7 linked regions of the Xenopus tropicalis genome follow. The protein of the gene in region 1 interacts with the protein of each later gene in a pairwise test. Links are inferred from orthologs where the notes say so. Each region holds a gene or a part of one and is shown in the gene's direction. Other genes may lie near its edges.

Region 1 (4,266 bases):
GTGCAGGAACCTGACATTTTACCAGGGGTGTGTAGACTTTTTATATCTACTGTATATAGTCATGGTACATTAATTTAATTTTCACTATGTTATATACTCAAAGTATATAGATATATGGTTATACCTTCAAACCAAAGGAAAGCTCCAACATAATAGCACTTTGTCAAATAGGCCAAATACAAAGGAAGCAGTAGCTATTAAATGGTATTCTCTTTTCTATCATAGGTTTAAAATCTTGCAATATATTACATGGGGATGCTCCACTGAAGTAAAATTGTTGCTGATTTTTGTATACACACTCCTCGTCTAGTTAGTTTTGAATCATATGAAATTTGGCAACAACGGGAACCAAATTTCCCAATTATCTTATATGTTTATGACATTATTGGGGTAAATTTCATTTTCCTTGTTTCTTCTATTGATTGTATCCATTCCCATTTCATTGGTGGAGGGTTTTTTCAATTTCCTAGGAACCAGTGTGCTTGCTGCTTGTAAATACTAATTTGTCTTGGACTATTCTTTTATTTACTCTAACAGAATAATGTTGATTCCATATTGTTGACATTATGAACACCTTTCTCCATCATGCCTCTGGCACTCAGAATACCATTTTTTTTAGACTGCTTAATATTTTTGGCACATGTGCATGTGAGACGTACAACGTGCTGGTGCGTTTTGTGCTCTTTTAACCCGGCACTTCTTCAGGCGACCTAAAAAACATTTTTTCCTAAAAGGATGTTATTTTTGCAATATATTATATGTATATCTATCTATATATATATATATAGAGAGAGAGAGAGAGAGAGAGAGAGAGATACACAAGACATACATTAAGACCATTGATTGCAAAAACATGGTCAGTGATGTCAACTCCATATTATAACTATGGGGCTTCCCTAGTGAGCAGGGCCTGAGGGCCAGTTAGGGCCCAACTGGGACAGATGTCTTTTTGCTCTTCTAATAATTCCTTGAGATCAGTTAGGGTGGGATTTTAAGTAGTCACTGGCTTACTGTCTTAGATATTACTGGAAACGTGGCTTTGATTAAGGCCCCGACCAAATGTTGCACCTTATTGAAATACCCTTAAAAATGTATTACACGATACTAATTCAGTCCCGTTTTTTTTTATTATTTTTGCGTTACGCTAAGAGTTAACTTAAAATAATGAATCGAAAGTCCCTTCAATGGTTCATTTGTTCCATAAAGCAGTAAGGTTGGCAGGCATCTGCTAACGACGACCGAGAGAGTATATAGATTCTTACAGCAGAACAAGCAAACAATTGCCATTTACCCGTGCAAATTGTTGGTAGGCGTGGTATACGCAAGAGGGCGTGGCTTTCTGCTCGACCATCTGAGGGCAGCCTAATCCGTGGCGGGAGCGCGCCGTGTTAGCGCGGGAGCAGTGACGCCACTCTTTGTGCCCGCGCACGCTCGCTCCCTCTGCAGTGTCTTTCTGTGGAAGTAGGGGGGGTGCGCGCACTCGGAGTACGGGGGACGGCGGCAGCTCCACAGAGATAAGGAGTGGGAAGCAGACCCGGTAAAGGAGCCGTCTTACCGGCGATAAAGGATTTTGTGACCTATCTTCCGGTATCCTGTGAGTGCGATAATTGGTGCGTCACAGTGGAAGCCGAACAGGAAGCGGCATAATAGCAAAGCGGATTCCCTCCTGGGGAAGGTGAGCGCGGCCCGTGTTCTATGAGATGGCAACACTGCATCGGGAGCCAGGATAGCTAAGCCACGGCCCTTCGGCTTTTGTCGTACCATGCAGATCGGGGATGCTGGGAGTTATGGTAGAGCTACATTTGGAGGGCCGCAGGTTGGACTCCGACGCTGTGTATAAATCCTGTCTCTCAGGCGCCCATGGGATAATGCACGGCAGGAGGAGGGGGTGGGGGAGCCCATATTGCTGTGTATGTGGGGGAAGGGTTAATGGATGTTTCCTACACGTGTGGCTATGACATATGTTTGCATACAGAGAAAGTGGCTGGCTGCTGCAGACCCCGACCTTTCTCTATTTGTTTTGTGGCTTTTTATGCAAATAATGTTGGCAAAAGGATTATATGGGTGTCTGCTTATAATGGTATGACATGGCAGCCCCATTGCTGTGGGTTTCTGCTCTTTCTTTCCTTCTGTCAAATACTCCCACATTGCATCATCAGCCCTGCTGCACTTGCACCTTATGGGTGTTCGGTGTTGAAGTGGCAATCTGGCAGCTCTGTCTGGCTAATGTAAATAATCAACACACCCTAACCGCATCATCAGCCATTTGTTAACCCCGGTCATTGTCCCTGCCTATGTAGCAGCCTGTATTGTTGCTTCTAGTGTTATTGTCTTGTTGCCAAACCAAGGCCTGTGGCCTAATCCCTCCTGTGTGTTTTCCCCTCCCCCTTTCCTGATCTGTGTCCTAATTCCCCCCCCCCCCCCCCAGAGAGAAATCACTCGCACTATAGCTGCCTTCCGTTCAATTGTACAAATCAAGGGGGTGCTGCTTCTTGTTGCAGACAATGCTTTTTTTGTGGATGTAGTGACATGTGATAGTTGCTGTGTTGTGAATCCTGGCATTTATGAATCCCCCCCCCCCCAGCTCTTGTACTACAATTCCCAACATTTGGCTGGAGTTGTACACCTATTTACATTATTTCCTTGTTGCTTATTATGGTTTAACAACTAGAGGAGGGGTTTAAGCGGACACCCTTAATTTCTTTCTCATAATTAATTATTTTTCATAAACACATGATTTCCAAAACATCCAATGAGAGTTGCATCCTGGGAATAGCACGGATTTAAGTGTAAGAGATGATGATGATGTACCTAATGCACAGTATCCTAGTACTCCTGCCCACATGTCGAAAACAGCGGTATTCATGTTGAGTTCTTGCGATGTAAAGGAATTTTTCTTTACAAACATTTCAGTTGTTGAGTGGTTATACCCTCTCTTTCGATAGCAAGAGTTATCAGTGCAGCCGCTAAGTGTGATGCATCCGGTCATAGCCTTGGAGTTGTTGTAACTGAGGAAGCACAAATGATTTCATTTATAGGTGATTGTTCTGTTTACTGTTTGTGATGCTGCTTAATTACTATAAATGATGCAACATTTGTGGCTTAATGAATTAATCCTCTGTTTTTAGATTGTCTGTTCAACAGCACTCGGATACATGCTTCATTAGGGTACGCACCTTTATTGTATATCTCTTCTTCCTTATGCAGCTCATTTTAAAGATTAAGTGATAAAGATGAGATGCAAAATGGTGCTGCTAACACATTTTTTTTTTTTAATGCTGTATTGAAAATATTTTTTGCTTTAGAGCTTAGAAGCTACAAAAAGCAATACATTTCTTAGAGCTGGTGGGTAGGAAGTTGTGTTGAGGTAAGGGATCTATTTTTTGGATACCCATTATTCTAAAAGCGTTGACATTACACAGTTTCCTCCTCAAGCAGACGGTTACTCACTTTTGATGGATTTGCCTTTCCTCTGCAATAAGACTATAACTGTTACTTGATTTTAAGCTAGCATAAATCCATGTTGGAAATCAATTCTATTAGTTATTTAATGTTTAAAGTGTTTTAAACATAAGGCCATGGTGCCTCATAGTGATAAAACACCCCTTAACCTGGAAAACTCCAGAACTATGAATAATCAATATTAATTCTCAAATGTATTTCTCTTCTGGTGCCCTTTTCCATTTTGTTTACAGTGAGTTTGTATTAACTATTTGCCTAGTGTTTTGTATAGGGATGCATGGAAATTAGCAATTTGGTATTCGTCCGAATCCCTTAATTCTTGGGTATGGATTCACCCAAACCTGGAAGTTCCCAAAGATGAAGTTGGAAACACCGGTGTGCACGCTTCGTGTACAAGGCAAATTTTCTCCACCAGATTAATTTTGGCCAGACTGCTAAAAGTAGCCAATTCAGTGCATTCCTAGTTTTACTTAAGATTATATATTGTTTTTGTTAATCTCTTAAAAGGAAGAAGGTTGTTTAATAAAGAGCTCCTTATATGTAAAGTTGGAAAGGGCTGGCCATGTTTTAGGCTGAGGGTACACAGAGTGTTTCCTCTCCTGCTCTTAGCCTGAGTTTTTTTTTTTTCTGGTTTCGCATTTTCAGATCAATTCTTACTCTGCTCTACTTTGTGTAGCTGGGCAGAGGCGGAAGCTGCACTTGTCAATGCAGTTTTACTGAGGTGCATAAGGGAGCGGATCCACTTCTGAAATAAACACAGTTTTAGGTAGAAATACTCAACGTGTGCCTGCACCTGAGCGTATT
Region 2 (3,940 bases), on another chromosome or scaffold:
TGTAGGCCAGACCGGGGGTGAGTGTAGGCAGACTGGGGTGAGTGAGTGTAGGCCAGACCGGGGATGAGTGAGTGTAGGCCAGACTGGGGGTGAGTGAGTGTAGGCCAGACCGGGGATGAGTGAGTGTAGGCCAGACTGGGGGTGAGTGAGTGTAGGCCAGACCGGGGATGAGTGAGTGTAGGCCAGACTGGGGGGAGTGGTGGCCAACGGGATGAGTGTAGGCCAGACTGGGGGTGAGTGAGTGTAGGCCAGACTGGGGGTGAGTGAGTGTAGGCCAGACTGGGGGTGAGTGAGTGTAGGCCAGACGGGGGTGAGTGAGTGTAGGCCAGACCGGGGGTGAGTGAGTGTAGGCCAGACCGGGGGTGAGTGAGTGTAGGCCAGACCGGGGGTGAGTGAGTGTAGGCCAGACTGGGGGTGAGTGAGTGTAGGCCAGACTGGGGGTGAGTGGCAGCTGGGGAGTGAGTGTAGGCCAGACTGGGGGTGAGTGAGTGTAGGCCAGACTGGGGGTGAGTGAGTGTAGGCCAGACCGGGGGTGAGTGAGTGTAGGCCAGACCGGGGGTGAGTGTGACGCAGTTGGGCAGCTGGAAGTATATTGCAATTGTATTTAATGCTCCGACTTTTCCCCTTTAAAAAGCCTTCAAATATGTCATCTATTTGTTGAAATTCCCTTTGCACCAATTTCACAAACGAGTCTCTGTGCTCGGAATTCTCTCCATATTGTGCAGAAATACACTGAATACGCGGCCGGTCCCTGGGCCGGTGATGGGGACGTTCGGTAGCCGCGCTCCATCTGGCCAGTGCTATAGAGACATGGAGCCCAGACCCTCAGTAAGGTGGGGTTGCGCTTGGCACTGATGGGCACGGAGCTAAATTACCCGCGTGGGGCTCATTGTTCATCATCCTCCTTGTTGAACTACAGTTCCCAGCATCCTCCGAGACCCGACTTGCACCCCTTACACCCGGTGTTGGTAGGAGCACCTCAAGGCCTCGGCAGATGGCGGCGTGGGTGTTCCCGTGTGAAACGGCCCTGGGCAGCTTTGTCTCTGGGGCACATTACATTCCAAGCATCTACTGCAGATAATGCTCCGTGTGTGCCCAGCGCCTGCTCCGTGCCAACTCTGATAACGGACAAAAGACCCGTCTGTAGGAAGACAGAGAGACATCCACACACAGGCAGAGACATCCAGAGAGAGACCAGAGTTCTGATATTCAAGGGGAAGTAAAGAGTAGGTGAAGATTTCCCCAACTGGGCACCTGGAATAATTGCCAAGGAAGAAGAAAACCAAATATTGAGGGTATTGAGACCCCATCAAGCTCACAATGACCTTGCTATTTCTAACATGGCTTCTGCTGGTGAGCCTGAAGTGCCCTACTCTGGGGCAAAGCTGTGACATGCCTGAGGGAGATCGCCAGCTTCTTCTGGCCAAGGTGAAGGAGCAAATTATAGAAGCACTTGGGTCACCTCCACCTCAACCCACCAATTCCTCCCCAACACCATCTGCTTATCTTGAGGGGCCCGTGCAGAGAATGCTACACAAGAGGCACAGCAAGAGGCATCAGGACAACATGGAGGATGTCTCCCAAGTCATTCTCTTCCCTTCCTCAGGTAATCATGGGTGTTTAATATTTCATGGGTGCCATGGTGGGTTCTTGCCAAAGGCCAAGAGGTTAGAAGATCTAGGGTGGAGAGGGTAGTGGTGGAACTGGAGACCTTAGAGTAGATTCTATAGGTTAGAGCAGAGATGTCCAACCTGTGGTCTTCAGCTATTGTCCAACTATAACTCCCACATCCATGGACATCCATGCTATTGGGGCCCAAGTACCTTCAACACCAGGGGATCCAAATGAGCTTTGGGAATTAGCTTTGTGACCCAAAAATTGACTTTTTTTTTTCTATTCGGCCCATTAAATCGGAACTAGCACCCAAATTAAAAAAAAACTTGATTATTGGACATTTTGGGGACTCCTTGGTTTTTGCATTGATAAAAGGAATTGCTGTGAATACAGTTTATCCATTACTGTTGGCGCTGTTCTGTTTCTGTATATGGAGGGGACTGGATACTGGTAGTGGTGAGAGGTGGTACTGCAGGCCACACAGTCTTTTTTTAAACTCCGCCCCCAAGAAGCGGTAGAATTCTGCATGACCATGGGAAGGAGAGCAGCTCAGGGAGAATGAGGTGCCTGGAATGGGGGAGATTCCTTGTAGAGCTCATTGGGTGCTTCTTGTTTCAGATGTCCTATGTGAAACCACCCAAACTGGCGCCAATGAAGAGGGTTCTGAAAACAGCTTCACCTACGTCTTCCGCCCTTCCCCCCACATCCGCACCCGGAGGGTCTCTGCAGCTCAGCTTTGGTTCTACACTGGCCACCCCGCCGCTGAAGAATCTGCCATGTTGAAAAACGTGTCCAGTTCTATGTCCGACCAGATGGGCGTTGAGCCAACGTTGGAGACTTTGGGCTCGGATCAGCTGCCCCCAAGCACTGGAGCTGCCCAAAAGCCACACGCGGTGACCGCTGCGCCCTTGGACGTGGCTACAGAGGTTGCAGACACTGTGGGACATGCAGTTGACCTCCAGGTGCTGTCGGAACATGAGCCGGTGACCGTGGCCACCACCAAGGTGCAACGTGTGGACGACTGGACCGTCTTTCACTTGGCCCCGGCTTTCCTGAACCTCGTCACAAGGGAGATATTTGTGCTCCTGGTTCACTGCCCAACGTGCCCATGTTCTGACCAGCCTGAGCACACCCCATTCATCACCTTCAGCACCCACCCCACCCAGCGTAACCGTCGCTCTGGGGTGCCTTGGTCCCCCTCTGCTCTGGAATTTCTGCAGAGGCCCCCGGAATCCGGAGCCGGAAGTGATCACTGTCACCGCGGTTCCCTCAACATCACATTTGAAGAACTGGGTTGGGGCCAGTGGATTGTGCACCCCGGCAGCTTCCAGTTCCACTACTGCCATGGCACGTGCTCGCCTACCCACGGCCTGACTCCAGCCCTCCACTGGGGGCACTGTTGCGCAGCTCTGCCCAGCACCATGAAGTCACTGAGAGTCACCACCACAACCGACGGAGGATTCTCGTACCGATATGAGACCGTCCCCAACATACTGACCCAAGACTGTGCCTGCAGCTGAGTATTAGCCAAGGAGGGGCTCAACTGGCCAAGTCCAAATGGAGACGCTTCCTGATACCTGGAATATTCTACAGAACTCCAGTGTCGGCTGAAGACCTTGGCTCTTATATTTCCCCTAATCCTTTGCACTAAGAGAACCAATACAACAGCTCCCACCCTGTATAATAAATCTAAACAGATAATGATACATACAGTGTAATAGTGAGGATTTGGGGCCACTTGTTGCCTTTCGGAGAATGGAGGTGACCGGGTTCATATAAAAAGTTTAATAATTATTCTGCCATTCAAATAAAAATGATATTTGGCACAAGGTCTGTTATTGGGTTGTGCTGTGTGGGGAACAGACTCAGCGGCTAGGGTATCTTTGTCTATGGGTATCTATGTCTATGGGTATCTATGTCTATGGTTATCTATGTCTATGGGTATCTATGTCTATGGGTATCTATGTCTATGGGTATCTATGTCTATGGGTATCTATGTCTATGGGTATCTATGTCTATGGGTGTCTATGTCTATGGGTGTCTATGTCTATGGTTGTCTATGTCTATGGTTATCTATGTCTATGGGTATCTATGTCTATGGGTATCTATGTCTATGGGTATCTATGTCTATGGGTGTCTATGTCTATGGGTGTCTATGGGTATCTATGTCTATGGGTATCTATGTATGTAATGGTAAAAGCCCCAGCTCCAGACCCAAAGGGTTTTTTCCTGCACTTTCCTGGCTGCCATCTTTTAAAATAAACCAAACTAAAGATGGGGTGTTGGCAGATCAGGGGCATAGTTAGGTGGGTCAGGGGCAGCTGGC
Region 3 (2,270 bases), on another chromosome or scaffold:
GAAGTATCCAAAACAATCATGCAAAGACAGTCTCCAGTTCCTGCAGTCCCAACTCAGCCTATGGTACAACCTGCCCTTGCCGCACCACAGCCTAACCAGCCTTACCTGGCCAATGCTTATGTGACCTCACAGTCTATGCCTGTCTCTGTTGTCCCAGGTCTGCACCCTCCCTTCATGCCTGTGCAGCCACCATACTCTGTAGCCAATGGAATGAGCTACCCAGCTTCCAGTGTTCCAGTTGTTGGCATAACCCCTTCTCAAATGGTAGCTAATGTTTTCGGAGTTGCAAGTCCACAGGTATTCCAGCCTAAGCCATCTCCAAATTTAGCCACACAGCAAACCTATCCAACTTATGAAGCATCCAGTGCATCCAGCAGTCCATTCTATAAGCCTCCTGCCCAGCAACAGAATGGCTCTGTTGCTTTTAATGGGGTTGAAAGTAGTGGGTGGGAATTGGGCGCTAAGAGCCAGCAAGCTCCAGCTGCCCCTCCTCCTGTAGACCCATTTGAAGCTCAATGGGCAGCTCTTGAAGGCAAATCTAGACCACGTGCAAACCCATCTCCTACAAATCCTTTCTCTAGTGACCTTCAAAAGACTTTTGAAATTGAACTATAGAGTTGGACTGAACAAGCAAACAGTCTCTGTGAGGAGTAGCAGTGTTTTAAGGATTCCAAATCTCTTCTTGCAAATCCATCTCTTTAGAATTACACATAAAAGGACCAAGAGGGGGGGCATGAAAATTCCATTGGACAGTAACTGCAATGGAGGTCTGTGGGAATATTAAGAATATCCATCCCCACAGATCTCATCTACCCTGCGTTGGCACAGAAAATCAGAGACGAACCTGGACAGTGGTCATGGCAAGGCGGGAGTAAAACTGGCCGCCCACTGGAGATATGACTCTCTGCAGAACCACTGCAGTGCCTGAGCTTCCATATTGAAAGATATGTGTAAATATGTATGGAGACTGAAAGGGGGGTGGGGGGGAAATGTTTAACTGCCTTTTATGCCAAAGGGGGCTGGAGCACACTGTTGAGTATTGCATTGCAGCCCGCTCTGGCAGCAAAGGGCTCAAGCCAAAATCTTTATTTTTATGCATTACAAATATTTTAAATAGCGTGGGTTAATTCATAAGTTTGTAAGTAATCTTGCCAAAGGTTAAACGAAGCTGGAAAGTTCAGTTGTCATTAATTGTATATAAGATTTAGCTGCTATTTCCTAAAGAACTGGACTGGCTGTGGTTTTATTTTCATGCGCTTTAGGCCACCTTCCTTGTATGTAGCACATTGCTTTAAACAATCACGACCAAGAGAAATATCTCTATTATACTTTTAATGAAAGAGCAGTATTGCATGGTGTAACAGCCATAGCGGACTATTTTCTTTCCTGTAATCCGATATTACACAAGAAAGATATATATATTCTCTATATAAATGTTTCTTTTTGGCATACCGCTGGAGTTTTTATATATGTATACTTATATATATTTATATATTAATATATATGATTATATATATTAATATATATGTTTTAGACTTTTAATACCACTATGATCTAATGCACAGAAGACTTTATTTCATTCTCATTATTGACTTTCACTGTTTCTGTAAATTCTTTTCATTCATAGTTTTATTTTTTTTATTGTATACCTCAAATCATCCTAAGCACACACTCTCTTCTTTATGTGTAAATGTTGGTTTCGCATCTATGTGTATATTTGTACTGATTTACAGTCTTCTTTAACAAATAAATGTTGGTGGTGGAAAAAAAGCTTCTTTTCTTGTGGTTTTCTTGTGCTTGGCCAATTGTAGTTTTTTTTTTTTTGTTTTTTTTTTTACTTTTCTGTGTTAAATGTTTTTTTGTTTTTTTTTTTGTATTAAATCCGTTTATTTTCAAAAAGATAGTAAAGCTTCACATTATACATTTATAGCCTTTTACATTCAGACAATTTTGTTTCCACATTCTTTACATCTTATCTATTTCTAATATAGATACCTTAGAAAGAGGCTATCGTATATGTTGAGGAATAGAAAGGAATGAGGGAGGGTAGGGGTAGGACTAGGTAATGATAGAGGAAAGTAAAGATGAGTGGAAAAGAAATAGAAAATACAAGAAAGATATAAACTACAGAAGTGGTGCGGTCTTCCTGTGTTAAATGTTATGCTTTAAAGCAGTGATCCCCAACCAGTGGTCTGTGAGTGACATGTTGCTCACCAACCCCTTGGATATTGCTCCCAGTGGCCTCAAAGCTTATTTTTGAATTTCTGGCT
Region 4 (4,216 bases), on another chromosome or scaffold:
TCTAAAGCCACTCTTGCGCCCTTTAGTGCTCTTGCACTTTGTCCCCTGGGGTCAAGAATGACCGCTATGGTATCATAAAGACTTTATGTCACATAATCAGTCCCAAGTCTCTAAAGCATTTGAAAATACCTTTTAAATTAAGAATGGTGGCTTTTAATTTTCCGCCAAAATTAAGCCATAATGACACATTGTAAAAGGTGTTACTATTTAAAGGTAATTTCTTTTGGGATGAGCAGCACCCCTTTAAGCCAGAAAATTAACTGAACTATGGATATACAGATATAGAATTCAAATCGAGGCACAAGGTATCTCTGGTGGTGCATTTATTTTAAGTAACTGGCACCACCCAAGGTATTAGCCTTTCCTTGTCCTTTAATAACTGTAGTGGCATGTATCATTTAACTGGCTGGCCTTTGCTATATTATCCAGATAGCATCTCTGCTTAGGAAAATGCACACAACCAGTGGCATGAATAGATGTCACTTGTCCCAAAAGAATTCAATTTAGGGGCCCAAATCGTTGGTAAATTGACCTATCCTATCAAGATATAGTAAAACTGCTCACTATTCAGGGCCGTGACATACAGGGAGATTAGAGCTGCCATGACAAATCTCTGTTGTTGCGGGCGACTAATCTCCCCGCAATGCCATCCCACCGGCTACAATGTAAATCAGCGGTAGGATGGCATACGCAGCGCCGCCATTTGCCAAAGTCGCCTTGAGAGGAAATGTCGGTGACTTCGGCATATCGCAGTGCCGTGTATGCCACGGGATGGCATTTGTTGTGGTGCAACTAATCTCCCTATGTGTCATGGCCCTTACTGGGCCCTCTACACTCCAGGGCCCCCCTGCAACCACATGGTCTGCCTCCTTTGTAGTTATGCCCCTGCTTTATTTTTTTTCTAGATAACAGATGTAGGTCATGACCAGTCATAGGACTTTTGAAAAGGAAGAGAACAAAAAGTTCCCATACAGCAGACTAAGCAGGAACTTCTGGATTTCCAATACGAGTCAGGTGACTAATGCATGTTGTGGCATATCTATTTTGCTGAGACAAATGCTTACTAGGGGCAGGTAGTCAGCCCATCCTCTAATAAGAATTGCATAGCTCTGGCAGGCTACGACCTTTGGTTTCATAGAAATCTGCTGCTAAAGCCAAACTTTACAACACTGCACGACTCTTCTGTTTAGCGCTGGGGTCCAGTGACACATCACGTGACTGAGCCCTGCATGAATGGAGCCCGGGGATTCTGTGGCGCGCTGTTACGTCTCATTTGTGGGGCGGGCCAAAGTGACGTGAGCAGGGACCCTGTCAGGAAGTTCTTCCTGTGGGCCGCCCAGACTCTTGTATTGCGCATGTGTCAGGTTCGCCATTTTGCAGTGTACTGTTGTGCTAGGTTTCGTTGTGCGGGGCGGGGGAGGCAGAGCACACAGGGCCGGCACTGCACGGAGGGAGGAAGCCTGGCGTACTTAACGTGCACTGCAGCAATTTAAGGTGACTCAGTCAAGTACGGAAACTGGGGCAATTATGGCGAACATCGCAGCACAGAGGATCAAAAGGGAGTTCAAGGAGGTGCTCAAAAGCGAAGAGGTGAGAGGAGACAGAAGTGCGTCTGGCTATATACAATGAGGGGCAACAATTGGTGACAGTGTGCTTAAGATAAATCCAGTAAACTGCTCTAAAGAGGTAGTATAGAAGGCTGCCACAGCCAGGCATGCCATGGGGAGGGACTATTGGAGTGTATTAGAGACTGATAGGGAGAGGGACTACTTGACTGTATTAGAGACTGCCTTGGAGAGGGACTGCAGAAGTGTATTAGAGACTGCCTTGGAGAGGGACTGCAGAAGTGTATTAGAGACTGCCTTGGAGAGGGACTGCAGAAGTGTATTAGAGACTGCCTTGGAGAGGGACTGCAGAAGTGTATTAGAGACTGCCTTGGAGACGGACTGCAGAAGTGTATTAGGGACTGCCTTGGAGAGGGACTGCAGAAGTGTATTAGAGACTGCCTTGGAGAGGGACTGCAGAAGTGTATTAGAGACTGCCTTGGAGACGGACTGCAGAAGTGTATTAGGGACTGCCTTGGAGAGGGACTGCAGAAGTGTATTAGAGACTGCCTTGGAGACGGACTGCAGAAGTGTATTAGGGACTGCCTTGGAGAGGGACTGCAGAAGTGTATTAGGGACTGCCTTGGAGAGGGACTGCAGAAGTGTATTAGGGACTGCCTTGGAGAGGGACTGCAGAAGTGTATTAGGGACTGCCTTGGAGAGGGACTGCAGAAGTGTATTAGGGACTGCCTTGGAGACGGACTGCAGAAGTGTATTAGGGACTGCCTTGGAGACGGACTGCAGAAGTGTATTAGGGACTGCCTTGGAGAGGGACTGCAGAAGTGTATTAGAGACTGCTTTGGAGGAGAATTACAGAAGTGTATTAGAGACTGCCGTGGAAAGGTACTATAGGAGTGAATTGGAAACTGCCATCAAGAGACTACAGGATTGTGTAGAGACTGCCATGGAAAGGGACTGCAGAAGAGACTACAAGATAGTGGTGTGGGGGTCAGGAAAAAGTCAACCTGCAACTGACCGTATCCCACAAATTGTTGCCGATATAGGATTTGCATTTAAAACACGTACTTGCGTCTTTCTACATTGTTTGCTGCTCTCGCCTTAGGTTCCAAGGAAGGGAAAGTTCAGGAGCAGAGGTGCTTCCCTAGTCTGACCCACACCCAACCTGAACCCACAACACCCCCCAACCCTAACCTGCCTGACCTAAGGGTAAAATGCAGGTTGTGGGTCAACCCGCTCATCACTACTACAAAAGTATGTTAGAGATTGATAGGGATAGGTTTGACATGAGTGTATCACGGGCTGCCATGGAGTTTTTTTTATGGGAGTGTATTAGGGACTGCCTTGGAACGATTTGACAGGAGTTTATTAGAGACTGCCATAGAGTGGGGCTGCAGAAGTGTTTAGAGTCATGTAGAAGGTACTAAAGGATTGTATTAGAGACATGGAAAAGTAGGACAGTTGTGTAGAAAAGACTGCAGTTCCCTCTGGCTCTCCCTTCCAACTTTTTCTCTCCTTATTAATGGCCCTTGAAATCCATTCAGTGAAACTTCAGAAATGAAATCAAAGGGGGATATTTATCAAAGTATTAAACTACAGCTTGCCATAGTCAGCCACAGTGAAATTTCCCTCATTATATTAATTTCTATTCAATTAGTGAAAACATATTTATCAAAGTGTAAACTCATTTATATGTATTGATAAATATACCCTCTAAAGTTTCATATTAATGTATAAAGAGTAGCAGAATTTCACTCTTGCAGACTATGATGACTTCTAGATTCAATCTTTGGTAAATATGTGGCTTCTGGTCATAATCACTGGGTAACTCTGTGAAACAGTGGAGTGCAAATTTGTTAACTGTAACTTTCTCGTGTGCGCTAGATCAAAGGCTGGCATTGCCGCATATCCTCCTGCCACTTTATGGAGAAACTTTCATTTGAGACAGCGTGCTGCCCATTCATTGAGAAGCTGCATCTAAAAATTGTTGCAGTTACAAATTAGGATTAGTAATATCGCTCACCATATTAAGAAATACACATTTTCTAATGTTATAAAGTAATTGCTTATTTCTTCTTTGTCCTCCATTTATTTTAGGTTAAGCAAGGGCCACAAAAGATTTTTAGAAAGTATCATAACATGCAGCACTACACCCCGTTTGTCTTCACTTAGCTTAAGCTGCAGTGTTCACCAGAGGTTTTTAGTGGTCATTTCTGCAATTTTACTTTCTCCATGAGCAGCAGAAGCTCCTAGCCCTGGACATAGGGCTAATGTATTTGATCTGCCAGATGGGTCAGTAGCCTGCTGACTCAATCAAGAATCGCAGCCAGTATTTGCCCTATGTATGGACACCTTAAATTCTGAACCTTTTATTAGGCTGAACCTGGTGCAGCTAGTTGGATTAGAATGCACATAATATCTCAGTGATACTAAGTGATATTTAGTAATACACATTGCTTTTTTTTTTGACGAGGGTCTGCTCAAGTTGTGCAAATAGATAAGTCCAGCTATGGCTACAAGCAGCCACAAAAGCTGTCTTGACTTCTTAGTAGAAAAATATATCCCCTTATTTTATTTTCATTTTCTTTATTGTTGGTGTATTTATTGGAATTTGGTAAATTATTAAAAGGGGAATAACACTCTAAAGTAATTTT
Region 5 (3,500 bases), about 59 Mb from region 1:
TTTGTAGATAGTGCCTGGGCCAGAATCAATTTAAGACCCCAGCATAACAAGGCAGGAATCCATCTTACTGCCCTGTGATCATAGATCCTCTTTAACACTTGGCTGGTGTACAGCCGTGGACCCACGAAAAGTGTTGTATCATAGTGTATGTTTTTAATGCTGGATCAATAACATGATGCAACTGAGAGAGAGATTGTAAAAAAGAATTTGATCCTAAACCTCAAACCTTCTCTTATCTCAGGTAGCAGTACCCCTGAAGTTACCAGGGCTGGCAAAAAGCCACTCCTGGTAACTTCAAGAGCCGAAATTCCGATTTTTTTAATTTGAAATTTCATCTTTCCTAGTGCAGAGAGCACTATTGCGCACTGTGCACTACCGATGTGGCCCCCTCCAACACAAAAAACCTAAGTGCGGAGGGGCAATTGGGGCAGAATCCCCTAGGCTGCCTCAGGGTGTCACTAGGGGCTGAAACACCCCTGTACTTAGCACTGCTCTACCGTATGTTCTGTTATCAGTCCCTTATCTGTATCTGGTAATGCCAATCTCTTTCTTGTTTTCTCAGGGCCGAGCTGTACAGACAGCAACTTCCCTTGATGAAGGGCTCTCCATTGTTGTTCCAGTGGGCAACATCCACTCAATAGACCATCAAAATGAAGCAAACCTGGTGCATTTGTCTGGAGCACTTCGGACTTCTAAGGTAGTCATTAGCATATAAATTAAACTTTAGTTACCAGTATAACCAGTACTTCACCAGGAAGGCAAAATAGTGACAAGCTGTGTTCTATAACCTTGGTGTGTCGTACCTGGTTTGGAGAACTCATACTGAACATTTTAGTCAGTCTGCCCTACTTCCACTGTTTCTTGCATAAGTAAAGAGAAATCTGCTTTTTCTGTGTTGATTTTTATTTCTAGTGTAGGTATCGGTGTATTCAGGTGTGTAATAAACATACACAGAGTCTGTGCACTACTGCTAATTGTGCTGCAAGATGGCCACCATTTGCATCTATATAAAATCTCATGTTCTGTGCTGCTTATCTTTTGATGTAATGATATGTTTTGACTTTAGAAACTCCTTACACCTATAGGACAGTGCAGTACTGATACACCTTCGGTTTTATTTTCCCTATCCCCATGTAGCCATTGTATGATCCAAATTATGGCGTTTCCATTCATTGTGTAAAGCTGAAGCGTCAGGTTGAAATGTACCAGTGGATTGAATATGAAGAATCAAGGTAAGATTCTATCTTCATTGCTGGACCCTGGATCAACATTGTACATTTGAAATATACTTATATTTTTTCTCTGGGGTCCTTGCCCAACAGGATTTTCAAACCTGCCAGATAGATACTTTTCTTGATTTTCACCCAGATATTGGTCAAGCAGTCCCAATCACCCCAAACGCAGGTCAATTATGTGTCAACTTGGTCTAGATGTGCCAAGTCTTCAGCTTGTATCAGCTCAGTTGTGTAACTCTAGAGGAAAGCAGACTCTGAGGTTGCAGGGGGGCCCAGACCACAGGCTCTGCTTTCTCTATAGGTCTAAGAAATCCCCCCTACCTACTTGGCGCGAGTGGCCGGGGAGCAGGGAACACTGGCGGCGGGTGAAAGGAGGGCTGGGTAGGTGTGCGCTGGGCCCCTCTGAAGATTGTTTTCTGCGAGGTGGGGGCCGCGTGTCGTTGTTATGCCGCTGTATCAGCCTATATATGCCCAGCATAAAAACTACTTGAAATTATTTTAGTAATTCGTTCATATCATATAATTTAAGTTGAAATAGTTACTTCGAATATGTGAGAGATATTTCTGACATACACAGTTTTGAATAGGCACACCAGAGTTTTTACAAACAGAATTTACTGTCAAACTGGCAGTTACATTTGCATGTCACACCTATATAAATATGAATTTATTTTGAAAAAGATTTTGGGCCTTTTTTTCATGTAAAATAAACAACCCAGGTGTTAACTAGAAATCACCTACCCTATTGCAGATTCCCTTCTGCTGAATTGCAGCACCTCCTGCTGGAATATTCTGGGTATTGCAGTTTATCCACAGCTACAAGCTTTATAGGAATTCTACTCAAAAGTTTTGGGTAGAGCAGTCTTTATTAGTGTGGGGATGCAAATAGTGGTGACTTCCTAGGTCCATAAAATATATGTGTATATATAATATTATTCGTTATTATATATATTAGTGATGAACGAATCTGTGTTTCGCTGAAAATTTTGCAAAACAGCAAGAAATTTGCCAAATGCATTGAAGTGAATTGGTAACACATTTTTTACGTGTGACAATTTTTTTTCTCATGTGCACAGTTTTTTTCTAACTCCAAATGCATTAAAGTCTGTGTTTTTTCTCACTTCTTCCCGCACCTTTTCATGCGCTCAACTTTTTTCTGATTCCAAATACAAAGTCAATTGGCATTTTTTCTCTGTGAACTTTTTGCCACAGCAAATTTTTGGTGGAGTTTTGTGAAAAAAAATTGCCTAAAAAATTGGCTAAAAAAAATGGCTAAATGCAGAATTTCGCTGTGAATCCATGCCGGGTGACAAAATGTGCTCATTACTATATTATCATATATTTTTTATTAACATCATTCATATTACATTAAGTTGTATTCAACTTTGTAAAACTCATATTTGCAGACAGTATGAAGAAAATGGAGAACAGAAAACAGAGACAAGATACACCTACAGTGAGTAGCTTTCAAAACTAGAATAGAAATAACAAATCCTTCTCCCAGTAAAAGTGGCTAATGCCATTGACTATTTTCATGGGATTTAAAAAGCTTGTTCCTTATTTAATCTGTTGCCATTACACTTAAGTTAGTGGCAAACTATACTCTTTAATGCTGAAAAGCCTAGAAAGAATACATAATGATTTAATTGCCTACCCTTGTTCTACTTTTTGTAAAATGACATTTAAGTAACTGTACTTCCTAGATACTGAATGGCGATCGGAAATTGTGAGCAGCAGGCATTTTGATCGAGAGATTGCGCATCAGAATCCCAGGTGAGTGGCACACAGTTTACAAAACCACAGAAATATCATTGGAAAAGTCAAATCCACTTGTTATCTATATTTCATTGTCTGTTCTTGCTACATGCTGATCTAATAGCCTACTGTATTGTAGGAGACTTGTATTCTTTGGAGATAAGGGTACTCCCTTTCCTTAATTATACTCATTAAATAAGTTACAGTAGAGACAAGGTGTCATCAACGAAAAGATAGAAGTGCTTGAGGGTTTGGATTTAGTTTTACCAAATATATAAATTTCCTGGCACCATAGACAAATTAAAATCCTTCTGGTTCTTTTCTTTTGATTGAGGGTGACAAGTGACCTCCGTTGGGAATCTGCACATTTTGTTCTGTATATTCTTACCCCAGTGGCTAACAAGCTTACGGAATGCCTACAGTGAGATGTGGAGAAACAGTGGGGCAAACAGTGATTTGTATGTTAAAAAAGTGGTGGAACAATAAATGTGTTGTCATAAAATTTCATTT
Region 6 (3,458 bases), on another chromosome or scaffold:
GCCAATAACAATTCCAGAAGGCCACTGGCACCATTTCTGGTAAGTTTTTCTCAGTTTTTGTATAAATACCTCATCATTTTTCATATTACAGCAAGGCACCTTATTTAAACTGAATTATATGCCCAACTAACAGAAGCCATGGAATCCAGGGTGGAATCATGGGAAAGGCCCTATTCCATGCTCTTATCTAGCCCACGTTTGGATTTGAGATTTGTTCTAACCCAATGACAAGCTGCTTACGCAATGTGTTGTTTCCGTCTCTTACAGGCATTGAACCCGGGACAGTGGTGATCACAGACGTAGCAGTGGATTCATTTTTCCGGCCTCAGTTTGAGCAGGTTGTTCTGGACAAAGTGGTTGTTAGAAACACTGACCTTCACAGAGAGCTCGCTGAAGATCTGCTGCAGTGCAGTAAGGAGATTGCAAGTTTCCCCACGATTATCGGCCACACGATGTGCACCTACGACTTTTATGAAGGTACCATTATACATGTGTTTTGGAAGAGTATGAGCATTGCTTCTCCGTTACAGCCATTTGTTGTGTGATCATAAGCGTATGGTTTTGTTTTGCTTGAGACATCAGGCTCTTGGCAGTCGAGAATCATTGCTTTGTATGAAGAAATGTGGTCTGTATAACAGTCCTTTATTCCTTAGGTCAGGGGCGACTGGACGGGGCACTCTGCTCATTCTCTAAAGAGGAAAAGTTTGAGTATCTTCAGAGAGCTTTCACTGCAGGAGTCCGCAACATAGAGATGGAGTCGACTGTGTTTGCTGCAATGTGCCAACTCTGTGGGCTTAAAGGTATATTGCTTGCATTGAAGCATTGCTTGCCAGGGAATGGGTCTCTGTCTGCAAACCCATATTCTAGCTGCCAAAACCATAGGCAAAATATTCTGTAGCTTCATCTTTTCATTATTTTCCCTTTAATATGTCCACTAACATTCTTGCTCTCCAAATAGACATCGTTAGATGGATCAGGGCAATTCTTTATTATTAAGTATAGGGTGACCAGAGAAAATTCAGGGACACGTCTAGAAAATCCATGAACATTAATTTAAAGGCAATCAGTTTCCCCCACCATGTATTTTTTGGACTTGTCCCTGAATTTTCAAGTGCTTTGGTCACCTTAACTGAGTAGCAACAGCCAGTTTGCCCTTCCTTAGGCCTTCTCCACATCACCACCTAGTGGTCATACATGGATAGTGTGGTTTCAGATTATGTTCATGAGGCTAGGTAAGCAATATGTCAGCTCCTGTTGTCTATATAGACATGTATTTACCGACAGGAGTCTGGAAAGAACATCTGTGCCCTCGGGAGGCCGTGCTGTACATTCTGCTTTAGGGAAACCGATTGTTTTTAGAAAACGGTGCTTTGTATAGAAAAAAAAAAACATAAGTAACCTATAGAAACCCTTCCTGTTCCAGCTGCAGTTGTCTGCGTGACGCTCCTCAACAGACTAGAAGGAGACCAGATCGCAGAAAGCCACGACACGCTGATAGAATACCAGAAGCGCCCCCAGCAGCTGATCGCAGAGTACATCAAGAAACAACTGAACTTAAGTTAAAAGTCACTCCCACCAATGATTACGACTCCTTATGGACTTGAATTGGTGCAAGAAAAAAAAATAATTCTACGCAAAAATACATAAAGGTCTAACGCTATTGGGCTGTTTATGATGCCATAGGCCTGCTCTAATTAACCCTTTATTGAAGCCATTTCACAATGCAGGTAAATATTTGCAGATCCCTGTGCCATTAGGAACTTTTCAAACAGCTTTTTTTTTTTCAATTGGCTTGATAATTAAAGGGGTGGGAGTAATCCAGGAGGAAGAATTAAAGAAGCAAGCTGCCAGCAAGATGCATTGAATAAGAATATCTAAAAAGGCTAATGCAAGCATTGGGCTAACATGGCAATCTTTGCTTGCTTTGAGGTGACCAGAGCACTTGAAGGGACATGTCTAAAAAATACATGTTGCTGGGTAGCATTGATTGCCTTTAAATTAAACAGCAATGAGTTCAGCCCTGCTGATTGGATTTTCTAGACTTGTTCCTAAATTTTTATGTGATCTGGTCACCCTATGCTTGACTGCTCTAAGCAAGGGACTGGTCTTGCATGCCACGTTGCCTAAGGATCAGTTGCCTGCCTTCCATGCTGAGTAATCAAAAAGACAAGACTAACATTAACCCTCGTTAGTAAGCTTAAACGTTGCAGTATTGGGGTTTTGATGCAGTAAATGACACTCCCCCCTTTCCCCTGTGACATGACCTTATTGGAAGTGCAATCATTATAACTGGCTAGATGTTTGATCATCGACGGCTCCTACAATAAGGTGACCAGAGCACTTGAAAATTCAGGGACATTTCTAAAAAAAAATGTTTCAGGACAGCACTGATCACCTGTAAATTAAACTGCAATCAGTTCAGCCCTGCTGACTGGATTTTCTAGACATGTCCCTAAATTTTCAAGTGATCTGATCTTCCTGTGCTACAGCTTCACTAAAATCACAAGTCCTCTCAGCAAAGACAAGCTTAAGATCTGCGACACAGACCCATTCATAAAAATCTGCATCTTGGGGCCCAGCCAGGCTTCATGCTGAAAAAAAGTAATTCCAGAATGGGTTCTGCCAGGGCTGTCATCCACACTTTGGCTCCTGTAGAGAGGGGTATAAGGGGTCTCACTGTGACATACTGACTGGTACTAAATGGTGCATATCAGGCCTTGGGGGTCAGACCCCTTGGTGACTGCCTTGGGTTCCACAGCAGCTGCAGGATCCATTTAACTGTCCTCTGTGATGGACACTATAAGCTCTATAGCTTAACAACAGCTCAACTGAGCGCCAGGCCAGCTTGTGCCTAAAGAGGAGTCTTTCTCTCAACTGTTCAATTGCTCTCTAAGGTTACTGAGATGTTAATGTTTCCCACATTAATTTGTATTTATTCTATTACATTTCCAATTGTAAGTCAATGAGTCCACTTTCTGTTTATAATACAAGTAGAACTGTCCTGAATCCAAAGACAAAGACCAATCAGTAGTTAAAACAGGACTTACTCTGATTCGTTATCAAAACAATGATTACATTTCATAAAATATAGTAATATAATACACAAAAGCCATGACTATCCTGTATAAACGGTGCTTAGTGATGTCATCAAATGGTGCTTAGTGACATAATTTCTGTCACATGACTCACTTAAACGTGTGTATTTAATTAGTACCCCTGGTGTAAAATATCAGGATGTTAGAGGTCACCTCTGCATTACGTGACCTGTATAAAAGCACTCGCCCTTCGGCCTCATGCTTTTATATGGTCACAGAATACCTCTATCCTTATATTTTACAATAGGGGGTACATTATGCAGTATATAAAGTCTAGTTGAGCAATGCCGTCCATTGATGCATGTGGGGAGAGGGAGGTGTCACACCTCCCTGATGATTCCCTGCAAACCAACTGTTTGTTTT
Region 7 (4,127 bases), on another chromosome or scaffold:
TGCACACACACAGGGCCACATAGGCTGGGGGAGCCATTTGCACACACACAGGGCCACATAGGGGGGATTTGCACAGATACAGGGCCACATAGGCTGGGGCGAGCCATTTGCACACACACAGGGCCACATAGGCTGGGGGAGCCATTTGCACACACACAGGGCCCACATTAGGCTGGGGGAGCCATTTGCACACACACAGGGCCACATAGGCTGGGGGAGCCATTTGCACAGATACAGGGCCACATAGGCTGGGGGAGCCATTTGCACAGATACAGGGCCACATAGGTTGGGGGAGCCATTTGCACACACACACAGGGCCACATAGGCTGGGGGGGAGCCATTTGCACACACACACAGGGCCACATAGGCTGGGGGAGCCATTTGCACACACACACAGGGCCACATAGGCTGGGGGAGCCATTTGCACAGATTACAGGGCCACATAGGCTGGGGGAGCCATTTTGCACAGATACAGGGCCACATAGGCTGGGGAGCCATTTGCACACACACACAGGGCCACATAGGCTGGGGGAGCCATTTGCACACACACACAGGGCCACATAGGCTGGGGGAGCCATTTGCACAGATACAGGGCCACATAGGCTGGGGGAGCCATTTGCACACACACACAGGGCCACATAGGCTGGGGGAGCCATTTGCACAGATACAGGGCCACATAGGCTAGGGGAGCCATTTGCACAGATACAGGGCCACATAGACTGGGGGAGCCATTTGCACACACACACAGGGGCCACATAGGCTGGGGGAGCCATTTGCACACACACAGGGCCACATAGGCTGGGGGAGCCATTTGCACAGATACAGGGCCACATATTCTGGGGAGCCATTTGCACAGATACAGGGCCACATAGGCTGGGGGAGCCATTTGCACACACACAGGGCCACATATTCTGGGGGAGCCATTTGCACACACACAGGGCCACATAGGCTGGGGGAGCCATTTGCACACACACAGGGCCACATAGGCTGGGGGAGCCATTTGCACACACACAGGGCCACATAGGCTGGGGGAGCCATTTGCACACACACAGGGCCACATAGGCTGGGGGAGCCATTTGCACACACAGAGCTGAGGGAGAACTTTCCCCACCAGCTATGAAATCGCTCAGAAGTCTGTCTCCTACCCCCTCCCCCCCTCACTCTCTCTCCCTTTCTGACTGTCTGGCTCTCTCTCCCCCCTCACATCTAATGGGAAGAGCAGGAGAGGGAGGAATGAGAGAGAGAGGAGGGAAGGGACAGACAGAGGCAAGAGAGGGCGGTGCCCGGGGAGGGGGAGGAGCCAGCAGGAGGGGGAGGGAGGGAGCAGTGCAGGAGGGAGGGGGGCAGAGGAGGTAAAAAATTTTCCTCTTTTGTAGGATTTTCTCTGCACAACGGATTAAAAAAAAAGAGAAAAAGAAAAAAAATCTTATTTCCCCCCTTGTCGCCTGTTCGGCTGTGCGGCCGCTTCCCCCCCCCTCTATTCCCCCCTATTCCCCCCCTCGCCCTGAGGCACAATGCTCCGCTCCGGCTTCCCTACCCGTCTGCCGCCGCCGCCTGGCCCCGGACTGACAGCCTCTCCCCGCCTGCCTCTCTAACGCACCTACCGGAGACTTACGGGACCGGACTCCCTCCCTTGTTAGGTGGGTGACTCCGCGCTGCATCGCGATCCTTCTGCTACACAATCGCACAGACTCACACGGATGTACCCACACACGTATGCACTCACTCTCACACTCACTCACACACTCACTCACACACTCACATGCGTGTATATGCTCCCTGCCGGGAACTGACAGTGTGACATGGGCGCCTATACCTACTGATCATGCACTCACACTCATACTCACTCACATACACTCACACTCATACTCACTCACATACACTCACACTCATACTCACATTCACTCACATACACACTCACTCACATACACACTCACTCACATACACACTCACTCACATACACACTCACTCACATACACATACACACACTCACATACACACTCACATACACACTCACATACACATACACATACACACTCACATACACATACACTCACTCACATACACACTCACTCACATACACATACACATACACACTCACATACACACTCACTCACATACACATACACACTCACATACACACACACTCACATACACACACACACACTCACATACACACATACACACACTCATACACACACTCACATACACACACTCACATACACACACTCACATACACACACTCACACACACACACACACACACACACACACACACACACACACACACACTCACACACACTCACATACACACACTCACATACACACACACTCACACACACTCACATACACACACACACACACACACACACTCACACACACTCACATACACACACTCACATACACACACACTCACATACACATACACTCACATACACACACTCACTCACATACACATACACTCACACTCACACCCCCCCTCCTGTGGGGATGACTTGCCCCCCTGTAGCGCTAACATACCCAGCTGCGCAGTACAGAGAGGGAGAAGGGGAGGCTGGGGAGGGATAGAGCAATGAGCCAGATGTGGCCCCTAACCCCCAGAGCTTGCACTTCAGTGTGTGGGTAGGAGGCTGAATGTCTAACCTGTGGAGCTTGCACTTAATTCACTGAAACCTATTGGCAGAAACTTTGTGTGACTCTGCTGTGTTAGTATTGATGGCAAAATGTCAAGCTGTCAGTCCTGGCGCTGATGTGAACTACAACCCCCAGCATTGTCATCCCCCCCAGTGATGCTAGCAGCTGCTGTGAACTACAACTCCCAGCAACCTCAGCCTCCCCCTCAGGGATGCTAGCAGCTGCTGCTAACTACAACTCCCAGCAACCTCAGCCCCCCCGAGGGATATTAGCTGCTGCTGTGAACTACAACTCCCAGCAACCTCAGCCCCCCCGAGGGATATTAGCTGCTGCTGTGAACTACAACTCCCAGCAACCTCAGCCCCCCCTCAGGGATGCTAGCAGCTGCTATGACCTACAACTCCCAGCAACCTCAGCCCCCCCAGTGATGCTAGCAGCTGCTATGACCTACAACTCCCAGCAACCTCAGCCCCCCAGTGATGCTAGCTGCTGCTGTGAACTACAACTCCCAGCAACCTCAGCCCCCCCCTCAGGGATGCTAGCAGCTGCTGTGAATTACAACTCCCAGCAACCTCAGCCCCCCCGAGGGATATTAGCTGCTGCTGTGAACTACAACTCCCAGCAACCTCAGCCCCCCCTCAGGGATGCTAGCAGCTGCTGTGAACTACAACTCCCAGAAACCTCAGCCCCCCCCCTCAGGGATGCTAGCAGCTGCTGTGAATTACAACTCCCAGCAACCTCAGCCCCCCCAAGGGATATTAGCTGCTGCTGTGAACCACAACTCCCAGCAACCTCAGCCCCCCCGAGGGATATTAGCTGCTGCTGTGAACTACAACTCCCAGCAACCTCAGCCCCCCCGAGGGATATTCACTGCTGCTGTGAACTACAACTCCCAGCAACCTCAGCGCCCCCCCCCCCCCAGTGATGCTAGCTGCTGCTGTGAACTACAACTCCCAGCATCGTCATCCCAGCACCCTCACTGAGGGGATGCTAGAAGTTGTAGCCCTTGGCTTCTGGAAGGCACAAGTGGGCCCAGTGTGGGGATTCTGAGATGCTGTTGGAGTACGATGAAGACATTGTTGGGGGTTCTCCTTGCTATTTGGGGGTTCTGATGCGTCCAGTGGGGGGGGACTGGTGTGGGTTATTTTGTGCTGGTTCTGCTGCATCGCTTCTGGCCATGGTGGGGGAGTCGTGCTGTTACATATGGATATAGTGGTGCCCGCTGGTGGGTGCAGATGGGTATTTATTGGGCAGCACTGGAGCTTTGCTGGGGGGGGACAGTATTACTAACAGTATTACTAACACTATATATAACATTATGCTTTAATATGCCACTAGCTCTGGGCATTGCAATGATATGCAGTAGGGCAGGGTGCCCATGTGTAGGTGCTACAGTGCCAGAGGGCAGTACCTGTGCAGGTGAGGTGCCAGTCTGCGCATGGAAGTGGCACACTGAGAGGCCCGTACGTGCCGGCGTGACAAACAATGGTATAT

What was found.
Region 2: the proteins of siah1 (region 1) and inha interact in binary tests that used the Homo sapiens proteins (3 or more experiments, as listed by UniProt). The two-hybrid records come from large-scale screens. The link is inferred for Xenopus tropicalis from reciprocal best matches to the Homo sapiens genes SIAH1 and INHA.
Region 3: the proteins of siah1 (region 1) and numb interact in a two-hybrid assay, tested with the Homo sapiens proteins (2 studies listed by BioGRID and IntAct). The link is inferred for Xenopus tropicalis from reciprocal best matches to the Homo sapiens genes SIAH1 and NUMB.
Region 4: the proteins of siah1 (region 1) and ube2k interact in binary tests that used the Homo sapiens proteins (3 or more experiments, as listed by UniProt). The link is inferred for Xenopus tropicalis from reciprocal best matches to the Homo sapiens genes SIAH1 and UBE2K.
Region 5: the proteins of siah1 (region 1) and tmem43 interact in binary tests that used the Homo sapiens proteins (3 or more experiments, as listed by UniProt). The two-hybrid records come from large-scale screens. The link is inferred for Xenopus tropicalis from reciprocal best matches to the Homo sapiens genes SIAH1 and TMEM43.
Region 6: the proteins of siah1 (region 1) and upp2 interact in binary tests that used the Homo sapiens proteins (3 or more experiments, as listed by UniProt). The two-hybrid records come from large-scale screens. The link is inferred for Xenopus tropicalis from reciprocal best matches to the Homo sapiens genes SIAH1 and UPP2.
Region 7: the proteins of siah1 (region 1) and atn1 interact in a two-hybrid assay, tested with the Homo sapiens proteins (2 studies listed by BioGRID and IntAct). The link is inferred for Xenopus tropicalis from reciprocal best matches to the Homo sapiens genes SIAH1 and ATN1.

The regions. Positions count from the first base shown.
Region 1 is NC_030680.2:74,034,912-74,039,177, forward strand, and holds the start of siah1 (E3 ubiquitin-protein ligase SIAH1), read left to right. Parts: upstream 1-1,466; 5' UTR 1,467-1,675; exon of another isoform or gene 1,676-1,816; intron 1,817-3,133; exon of another isoform or gene 3,134-3,168; intron 3,169-4,266. UniProt on the Homo sapiens protein: E3 ubiquitin-protein ligase that mediates ubiquitination and subsequent proteasomal degradation of target proteins.
Region 2 is NC_030685.2:84,993,279-84,997,218, reverse strand, and holds inha (inhibin alpha chain), read left to right. Parts: upstream 1-1,146; 5' UTR 1,147-1,392; coding exon 1,393-1,606; intron 1,607-2,232; coding exon 2,233-3,134; 3' UTR 3,135-3,440; downstream 3,441-3,940. UniProt on the Homo sapiens protein: Inhibins and activins inhibit and activate, respectively, the secretion of follitropin by the pituitary gland.
Region 3 is NC_030684.2:106,105,818-106,108,087, forward strand, and holds the end of numb (protein numb homolog), read left to right. Parts: coding exon 1-615; 3' UTR 616-1,770; downstream 1,771-2,270. UniProt on the Homo sapiens protein: Regulates clathrin-mediated receptor endocytosis. Plays a role in the process of neurogenesis.
Region 4 is NC_030677.2:36,220,661-36,224,876, forward strand, and holds the start of ube2k (ubiquitin-conjugating enzyme E2 K), read left to right. Parts: upstream 1-1,416; 5' UTR 1,417-1,527; coding exon 1,528-1,590; intron 1,591-4,216. UniProt on the Homo sapiens protein: Accepts ubiquitin from the E1 complex and catalyzes its covalent attachment to other proteins. In vitro, in the presence or in the absence of BRCA1-BARD1 E3 ubiquitin-protein ligase complex, catalyzes the synthesis of 'Lys-48'-linked polyubiquitin chains.
Region 5 is NC_030680.2:132,943,348-132,946,847, reverse strand, and holds part of tmem43 (transmembrane protein 43), read left to right. Parts: intron 1-562; coding exon 563-697; intron 698-1,137; coding exon 1,138-1,232; intron 1,233-2,641; coding exon 2,642-2,691; intron 2,692-2,938; coding exon 2,939-3,008; intron 3,009-3,500. UniProt on the Homo sapiens protein: May have an important role in maintaining nuclear envelope structure by organizing protein complexes at the inner nuclear membrane. Required for retaining emerin at the inner nuclear membrane.
Region 6 is NC_030685.2:73,782,897-73,786,354, reverse strand, and holds the end of upp2 (uridine phosphorylase 2), read left to right. Parts: intron 1-267; coding exon 268-477; intron 478-653; coding exon 654-800; intron 801-1,423; coding exon 1,424-1,563; 3' UTR 1,564-2,958; downstream 2,959-3,458. UniProt on the Homo sapiens protein: Catalyzes the reversible phosphorylytic cleavage of uridine to uracil and ribose-1-phosphate which can then be utilized as carbon and energy sources or in the rescue of pyrimidine bases for nucleotide synthesis.
Region 7 is NC_030683.2:9,482,384-9,486,510, reverse strand, and holds the start of atn1 (atrophin-1), read left to right. Parts: upstream 1-1,327; 5' UTR 1,328-1,640; intron 1,641-4,127. UniProt on the Homo sapiens protein: Transcriptional corepressor. Recruits NR2E1 to repress transcription. Promotes vascular smooth cell (VSMC) migration and orientation. Corepressor of MTG8 transcriptional repression.